2 linked regions of the Schizosaccharomyces pombe genome follow. The protein of the gene in region 2 binds, or shares a complex with, the protein of the main gene of each other region. Each region holds a gene or a part of one and is shown on either strand. Other genes may lie near its edges. The genes, in order: naa25 and naa20.

What was found.
Region 1: naa20 (region 2) and naa25 share a complex: the UniProt entries of both Schizosaccharomyces pombe proteins name them as parts of the N-terminal acetyltransferase B (NatB) complex.

Annotation. Positions count from the first base shown.
Region 1 is NC_003423.3:1,505,826-1,511,655, reverse strand, and holds naa25 (NatB N-acetyltransferase complex regulatory subunit Naa25), read left to right. Parts: upstream 1-2,212; 5' UTR 2,213-2,272; coding exon 2,273-2,305; exon of another isoform or gene 2,306-2,349; coding exon 2,350-2,488; exon of another isoform or gene 2,489-2,731; coding exon 2,732-2,850; exon of another isoform or gene 2,851-2,889; coding exon 2,890-3,326; exon of another isoform or gene 3,327-3,366; coding exon 3,367-3,628; exon of another isoform or gene 3,629-3,667; coding exon 3,668-4,786; exon of another isoform or gene 4,787-4,857; coding exon 4,858-5,076; exon of another isoform or gene 5,077-5,136; coding exon 5,137-5,244; 3' UTR 5,245-5,271; downstream 5,272-5,830. Other genes in the region: UBA/EH/EF hand domain protein Ucp8, read right to left, coding at 1-606, 652-775, 926-1,075; cytochrome c oxidase assembly protein Shy1, read right to left, coding at 5,283-5,830. UniProt on the Schizosaccharomyces pombe protein: Non-catalytic subunit of the NatB N-terminal acetyltransferase, which catalyzes acetylation of the amino-terminal methionine residues of all proteins beginning with Met-Asp or Met-Glu and of some proteins beginning with Met-Asn or Met-Met.
Region 2 is NC_003421.2:687,748-691,095, forward strand, and holds naa20 (NatB N-acetyltransferase complex catalytic subunit Naa20), read left to right. Parts: upstream 1-1,780; 5' UTR 1,781-1,820; coding exon 1,821-1,898; intron 1,899-1,955; coding exon 1,956-2,420; 3' UTR 2,421-2,680; downstream 2,681-3,348. Other genes in the region: cyclin-dependent protein kinase Pho85/PhoA-like Pef1, read left to right, coding at 7-34, 86-924. UniProt on the Schizosaccharomyces pombe protein: Catalytic subunit of the NatB N-terminal acetyltransferase, which catalyzes acetylation of the amino-terminal methionine residues of all proteins beginning with Met-Asp or Met-Glu and of some proteins beginning with Met-Asn, Met-Gln or Met-Met.

The sequences.
Region 1 (5,830 bases), on a different chromosome or scaffold from region 2:
CTTTTATATTAGCTTGAGGATCAATTGTTTGTGGGGGTGATGAGTACTTGTTGTCAACAGCAGATTGAGCATTATTATCTGCGGAAATCTCATCCAATTTAGAAGACTTGGTAGAGGATATGCTTTGTTGATGAGAGAGTTGCTCAGTATTCACTAAAGATGGCTGAGTAACACCTTGTTCAATATTTGTATTCATTGCTGGGGTTTCACTTTTTGCGGATTCAATAACATCAGCGGGCAAAGAGCGTGGAAGATGAATCAAGTTGTATTGTTTACATATTGCAACTAAATGTCTTGCAATAACGTATTGATACATTTCAAGGTACCCAACATGGGCAGAATCAGCAAGATTCCATATTTGAGCGAGTACGGCGTAATGAAGTGAAGATTTTAAAAGAATAGGTTTTGCAATTGAACTTGGCATACAGCCTGGCCTTGCTGAATCTTCATGTCCTCGAAGATTTTCACGAAACTCCTTTTCATATTCGGAACGCTCGTCCGGGTTAATGGGGATACGGAAAGGGGTAAAATCAGCCGTTTCTGAAGATGAACGCTTAATATGATGGTCGTCTTTAGCTTGTTTTGGTAAAATTGGAGGATCTCCGGCTGATTAATGTTAGAATATAGCTAACTATTAACGCATTTTCATACCTTTATTATAATCTAGCTCTTGCAAAGTTGCTCCACGTTGAGCCTGAGAAATTAATCGAAAACAAGCATAAACCTGATTACGATCAAGTGATCCCTTATCCTCTTGATCACAATAATCCCATATCTAATAAATTGGCAGTTAGATATATATTTTTTCTTTTAGAAAGTGCAACGCTTTAATTTATAACATTCCACTCTTAGATTTAAACTCTAAACTTTAAGAGATAAAAACTGCTATCCCAAAGCTTTTGATTGAGGAATGAATTAAACATACCTTTGCTAATATCTTTTGAGGAAGACCAAACTTCAAAAGAAAAGGTCCAATAACACTTCCTGGGATTAAATCTTTCTGTTCTGGGTGGAGAGACTCAAGCAATCGGTCAAACTCCTGCTGTTCTATAGGGGATAACTGCAAAGGCTGCATATCCTATTTATGAATAAAAAAATAATTGCGGATAGTTAGATGTTAACAATTGTGAACTCTAACTCAATAAAACGTTTCTGATTTAAAACAAATACAAGTCATGAAATTAAACCTATCGGCGAATGTAACCTTTTATACAGAGAAAATAACAAAAAAAAAGCGCCTCTTTAAAGCCAAACGTTTAAAGAAAAATAATATGAAATTTACGCAAACAGGGCTGGATCGCGTAGATAGACTGAATTTTGGAAAATTAGAAGCAAAGCGATAAAGTCGGATCTCAAAGGAATAAAAAATAGTCCGTTGATTAAATTTAAAATACGCTAGTAATTCTCTAAACTTCGTCTGCGCTTTTCAACAATAATCAGTTAAACCGGCGGTTGGTGGAGAGCAGTTAATACTTGACAAGCATATCATTTACATCGCACCTCCTTAGTACGATTTATTTAACGATAAGTAACACCGTCCACGTGCTGACCAGCCTATTTGAAGAATAACGATATCATAGAGCTTACTGTAGGATTAATAAAAATATCATCAAAATGGGGAAAAAATTGAAAGATTATGAGAAGTATATGATTATTAAATAAAATAAAACTTTTAAGAATTGATACTGAGTTTTGATCTTTAAATTTAGTGGAGATACTCATTAAACAGCCTTATACCTAAATGAAAACTGAAAGGTTTACTGCGTTTACCTAGCATGCTTAGCAATGAATTAAAGGATTGCTCAATTACCTAGCTTTCTGAATATTACGCTAGCTTTCTACTCCCTTGCCATTGTAAAATACTTTTCTGGTCATCCCGCTGCTTTTCAATGAAACTGCTATTCATTGACAGCCTCTCAACAAAAGATGGGTTTCTCAAATTAAATGTACAAAAATTATGCATATTTTATATTTATTTGAGCACAAAATCACATTATATGACCATGCCGTGGATATACAACAAATTTTACAACACCAGGTATTTCTTTACGGCTTAAGGAAGTTTTAGTTATGACTGTAAATTGTACAGCTGTGAATATATTACTTAACCATAGTATACCCTTTAAACCAATGCAATTACACTTTTGCAGTAGATATATATCCAGATTCTACCACGCTGGCTATAATATTCTCCTCTGTAGAATAATAATTTGACTGCAACACCTACCAACTTCTGACTACTGTTTGGGCTTTAATTTCATTGCCTACTACAATGCGTCGTTCTGGGAGTAAAGAATCAACAATTGTAAGTAATCGAGTTATGTTTTTAGCTGTTAACATCCTTTTTAGGTTTATTCAGCGTTATCCTTGGCTCAGGCAGGACGTGGTCCCGAGGCTCTAGCACTTTTAGAACCGTTAAAATCGACTCCCATCAACAGCTTGGAACTTTTAGACATTATACAAGCTGTTTATGATGATCAAAAGAAGGGTAAGTATAATTAGGTTCTATTGAACAGATGAACATAAATGTTGATAGCACTTTGGTCGTATTTTTTATTTTGAATATTCTACTATTTCCTTGAGATAAAGGCTTTAGTTATTTGATCGGTTAAACTTTGCTTAAGAAAAACGATCTTTGTTCTTTTCGTAGCTTGATGATTCAAGTGCAACGTTTTATTTCTCAATGGACTTGTTTTTACCCTCTTACTTTTAAGTTATTAACTATTTGAAGGAGAAGAATCGTTTGTATTTTGGGAAAAGTTCTTGCAAACTTATGGAAAGCAGGAAAAAAACTTATTAGCTTACTTCAAAGCATCTATTCGCATCAAATCATTGTCTCACCAAAGAAAGGTAAGATCTTAATTTGTTTTTTTTTTACTAACTCCTCAGGCTGCTGTAGAATTGCAAAAGAACTTTCCTTCTAGGAAACATACCTTATGGGTTATCTCATCTTTGTATCTTTTGTCCAAAAAGTCGGAAAATGAGGTTGAACAACGTTTGCTGAAAGCACTAGCTGAAAAAACTGCTAAACTCATTTTCGAAAAACCAACAGGTTATATCGATTCTTGTGAGGAGTTTCATCTTTATTTAGACGTGTTGCTTTTAGTGGGAGACAAGGACAGAGCGTTAGATGCTTTAATACATCAAGATGCTGATCGCTTTGTTGATGCTGACGCCGACCTTCTTTTGAGGAAGCTTGAATTGCTTGCTTCCTGTGCGCGTTGGGATTCTTTATTCACGTTTTCGCTTTCTCTTTTCCAAACTGGGAATACTGATTGGAAGGTTTGCAAAGCTTTGCTGGATAGTGCTTCCAATGATGATTCAAAGTAAGTTTTTTTTTTTGCATTATTACTAACTTCTCCATAGATTAGTCCCATTAAAGGATTGTATATTGAAAGCGTTGTCAACCAGCAGCACAAAAAGAAATCTTCATTTACTTTGGATTGAAGCCAGCGCACGGTTTTTTCCTGAAGAACACGAATCAGCATTACTTGGCTATATCAAAAAGCTGTATATGAAACCAATTGTTTTTGAAGATTTGAGACCTTATCTATTGAAGCTGAATGTTGATGCACAACACCGGTTATTAGATGCATTTAAGTTGGCTGATCTAGGTGAATCCAATGAAGTAAGTATTTATTCATCTTTCAATATTAACTCGTCGTAGTCTCAAAAAGTCGATAAATTATATGCTGAGGTTTTGCTTCTGAAGATCCATTTTTTGCTCTTTGAGTCGTTTACTGCAGAATCGGTTGTCGATTACGTGCGTAGATGCTTCGTCGCATTTGAAAAGGGTTTGTCTTTAAGTAAAGGCTTATTACCCACTGACTTTACGCACGGTTATGAAGCTTTGTTATTAGCAGTTCATTCATTGATATATATGTGGGAGGGGAATAAGGATTTAAAACCTGCCGAAAAACAAGCTTTAATTTTTGACGCAATCTGTCTTTTAGAAAAAGGCATTACTTATAGTCAACATAACTTTCATTTAAAGCTACCCCTTATTCGTTTATATCTTCTTCTTGATGGAGGCTTCCCTGCTGCTGCTAAAGTTTACGACACTATGTCCATTAAGCAAATTCAAAACGATACCCTTGATCATTATCTCTTGACTCGTGCTACTACCTATTATCCATCTTCTGTTACTTCTCACTATATTAACTCAAGTCTCAAAATATATGGTTCGAATGAGTTTGAAACACCAGAGATGATTTCTATGGCTTATGAAGATGGTGCTTACTCTCAAATCGAAGATATGCGTAATTTCCGATCCCGTTTAGACCACAGTACCTGGAAAAGCATTTCTTTGGTCGAGCGGGCTAGGATACATTATCTTACCGCTTTTAAACCACCCAAACAGTATCTTCCCAAATGTTCATCTCCGAAAGATAATCGAGATTTAAAGGTCTTTGCAGATTATGGATCTGATAAATTGCCAACAGTTGAAGAAAGTTTAAGAAATTCGCCTAAACCGGACACGCTTTGGATCCATTTGACTGTCATTGGTCATTCTCTCGTTCAAGACAGCATAGTAAACGGCGATTTTGAAAAGGCCGTTTTAAGTGCTAAGGAAATGGAAGTTTTGTGCGAAAACAATGATTTATCGAAGCAATTAACTTCGGAAGAAATTGTTCATATGAAATTATTGATCCAACTGGGATTACTTTCGGTAAAGGTCAAGAACGGAGACTACGAAAATTCCTCGTTCGAAACGATTGAAAATTTAATTGAGTCATTCGATTATGAGAACTCCACGCCTTTAAGTCAATTGACAAAGTACACTGAAGTAAGTTTACCAAACTGGTTTTTTTTTTTAAAAAAAATGATATAAAAATTTCTAAACTAACCGAATTATAGATCATAAATGACCTTATCACTTGTCTAAACAGCTTCCTATATCACGTGTCAGCTACCAAGAAAAAAGAATTTACCAGACAATACCAACTTCTTAAAAACATCAGCAGTAACAAATTAGGAAGTATCTCTGGAATTACGAAGCATAAAAAGAAGGCCGCCAGAAAATATGTATCAGAATTGTTGTCAAACTCTTGGCTGAGCAATTTATCTGAAACTCAGGTACGTGATGATTATAGAGCATTAAAATTATAGGCATGAGAACTAACTTCCTAATAATAGGTTCCTTACGATCCGAAGTTTGCAAAACAAGTTGGTGAAGGAATGATCGATTCATACATTCAAACGACGGACGCAGTAAGCAAGCTTCCAAAATTTGTAAAATTTTAGGTAGATAATATTTAGAAACTTATAAATATGAAAATTTTTTATAATCGTTTGTTGTTTAGAATCTTGCTTCTTTCGTATGCAGAATTCAGAGAAGATGTGCCTGAACCTCTCTTAAAATAGACGTAAAGCATTATAGCTGATACCACACTTAGAGAATACCAAGTGATAATATATTCTGTATGACTGTTGAAAATTTCAACTTTTAGAGGATGACCAAGAGGCAAGCCTCTCTTAACATGATCGGCTTCTTGCAACGGTGTAAGCGATGGTTGTAGTTCTGTTATCAAAATGGGGAGAGTTCCTTTCAATTGTGCAAACTCACGAACATTTAAGAAGTAAAAAGAATTTTTTTCAGGCTCATTCTTCATCATAAATCTTGGCTTATCAGTATGTTGTCTCAAAAGACCTTCAATGACCACTGGACCTTTAGGTAAAGAACTAGGATCTCGAGAAGACTGTTCAGCAAATGATCGAGCAATCCATCCTCTGTTGACTAAAATTCGACGCCCATCGTCTAAAATAAATGGGGTTACTACGTGATAGCCAGGTTGGCCTTCCTTCGTTCTTGGACCGACCAACATTTCTT
Region 2 (3,348 bases):
CACAACATGAACTACCAAAGGCTTGAAAAGTTAGGTAAGTATGAGTTTGAGGTCCCAAAATTTGCAATTTCATTAACTTAAGTAGGAGAGGGAACATATGCGCATGTTTATAAGGGGCAAAATCGAGTGACTGGTGAAATTGTCGCTCTCAAAGTTATTCGTATTGATGCAGATGAAGGAACACCTAGTACTGCTATCCGTGAGATTAGTCTTATGAAGGAGCTTAGGCATCCCAATATTATGTCTCTCTCAGACGTTTTGCAAACCGAAAATAAGCTTATGCTCGTTTTTGAATATATGGAAAAAGATTTGAAAAAGTACATGGACACTTATGGGAACCAAGGAGCTCTTCCACCTTCTCAAGTAAAAAATTTTACTCAACAATTACTCAAAGGGATATCTTTTTGTCACGAAAACCGAGTTCTACATCGTGATCTGAAACCTCAAAATTTGCTTATCAACAGTCGTGGTGAATTGAAATTGGCGGATTTTGGGTTAGCCCGTTCAATTGGAATTCCAGTGAATACTTTTTCAAACGAAGTGGTCACCTTATGGTATCGTGCTCCTGACGTTCTTTTGGGTTCTCGAGTATATTCAACTTCCATTGATATTTGGTCAGTTGGTTGTATCATGGCAGAAATGGCTACAGGACGTCCTCTATTTGCTGGGTCAAATAATGAGGATCAGCTACTAAAAATCTTCCGATTATTGGGAACTCCTACTGAACAATCATGGCCCGGAATTTCTTTACTTCCTGAATATAAGCCTACTTTCCCTATTTATAAAGCACAAGATCTCGCCTACCTATTTCCAACATTTGATCCTCTTGGTTTGGATTTGTTACGACGGATGCTTCGTCTACAACCTGAATTAAGGACGACCGGCCAGGATGCGCTTCAACATGCTTGGTTTTTAACCGCATAGGCTGTAAATTAACATCAAAAAGTTTAACCAAATTACGATTTTATTTATTCATTTCAGTTTCCTATTGAAATCATTAATTTTTTTTTTGGAAAGAATGCATTTCACCTAGGGAAAGAGCACAATATTTTTGGACGTTCAAATTTCTTCGCAACTGTTTTAGCCCAAGTAGCTATCCCTATTGATCTTTTTTAAACGAGGTTTAGAGGTAAATATTTGGTTATTATTTTGAGAGGATTTGAAGCTGTCGAATATATTTTTAGCCAAGAATTAAACGGCGTTTTATTTTCTACGATTAAAATATCGTCGCTGATGACATTCAAGTCGTAAATGAAATACTTAAAGAATTGAATGATCCGCATTGCGTCTGACATTTTTATGAAGGAGCAAAAGGATAATATTCAAAAAGCAATGCGGGTTTTTAGTATACTGATAATAATTTGCGGATTTCAAGCAATTATCCGCAATGCACATGAAAAACAATCTTTTTTCACTTATTTTTATTAGTGGATTAATGGCTTCCTTCCCTATTATTTAACTGCATGAAGGGATTCTCTATTAATGTTCTCTTTAACCATTCGACATTTTATGTGGTTTCTGTCGTTCATTATTCTTTTTATTTACTTTCATCTATACTCCATCTTTTCAGTTTTGAGGCATCAATGGTAGGAGGTGACTAAATTTCTTTGAGTTTCGTTTAGGAAGAAGGTTCAATTTGTAAACATGAAATAATAATTGTGTCTTTTACAATTTCTTTTGAGTTTTTCTACTCGCTTGGCCCAGCAATCTATTGTTTAAGGAGATATACGGATTTGGCTTATCGTATTTTTACGACATCTTCTACCTCGCCAAATCTTTTAGTTTTACCCATACTGCTAGAATTTACATTACATGAAAAAATGACTGATACGCGAAAATTCAAAGCTACTGATTTATTTTCATTTAACAATATAAATTTAGATCCTCTAACGGAGACCGTAAGTTACCATCTACCGTACTTAAAGCGGACTTTCATTAACTCGAACAACTTTTAGTTCAATATTTCATTTTATCTCAGTTATTTGAACAAATGGCCTAGCTTGTGTGTTGTACAAGAGTCTGACCTATCTGATCCAACCCTTATGGGTTATATTATGGGGAAATCAGAAGGAACCGGTAAAGAGTGGCATACTCATGTTACCGCCATTACAGTAGCGCCAAATTCCCGTCGTTTAGGCCTTGCTAGAACGATGATGGACTACTTAGAAACTGTAGGAAATTCTGAAAACGCTTTTTTTGTTGACCTGTTTGTGCGTGCCAGCAATGCACTTGCAATTGACTTTTACAAAGGATTGGGGTATTCGGTTTATAGACGAGTTATTGGGTACTATAGTAATCCACATGGAAAGGATGAGGATTCATTTGATATGCGGAAACCACTTTCGCGAGATGTTAATAGAGAAAGCATTCGAGAGAATGGGGAAAATTTCAAATGCAGCCCAGCTGATGTTTCATTTTAGTTCACTCTCTTTTTACAAATCTATTAACTAGTGCAAAGGAAGAAGATTTTTTTTTATATTAGGTAAATGGTATAGTATGTACATCATATTAATGAAAATCAAAGTTCAGAAACGACTAATATTTGCTATGCTTTAAGACCTCGGTCCTTTTCCTTGCTTACATATTGATATTGTAAGTATTTGAAGTTTTTGATTAATGATTATGCAACTCTTTGGAACATTTTGATAATTTATCAATAAAATAATGTATCACTACACAATGGTTGAAATTTGCGTTCAGTTTCCTTTAGATAAATAGCAAATCGTCTACTAGTTACTTTATTTCTCTAATGTGAAATGGCAAACTAAATAACTTCTATTTATGTTAGCAATAAATCAATGAATGACTATACTACCCACTTCCATTCAGTCCTCTATACTTGCAAAATGAAAGACAAAACTATGTAAATACATGTAAAACATATCTTTACCAAAAATCGTAGCTACACGATCATCTGACTTAACAACTTTGCAAAAACAATTCACCACAGAAATATTTTTTTTAAACAAGTAGTAAGTAATTGCCAGCAATAACTTTTAACGTGAATTATTTTTTTAAAAGTAAAACTATCTGAAAAAAAATTTACATCATGAGCTTACAATATCAAAAGTTAAATAAAGAAATAAGAAAATATTCGAAGATTAAAAAGACGCCAGTTCAACGAAAAGAGAAGAGGCCTTTTATTTCAACCTTCTACTATATCGGTTGATTGAAAATTGACCAGAGAATTGAATGTATCTAACAGATCAGAGTGTTTCAACCTTTGTCCAACAACGGACTTTATACTGATAAATTTCACTTCATGGTTTTATTCAACCAAGTTCTTATACAAAAAGCACCTCTACAATTAAATCAGAAATCACACGCAACTTTACAGAAAATTGAGAA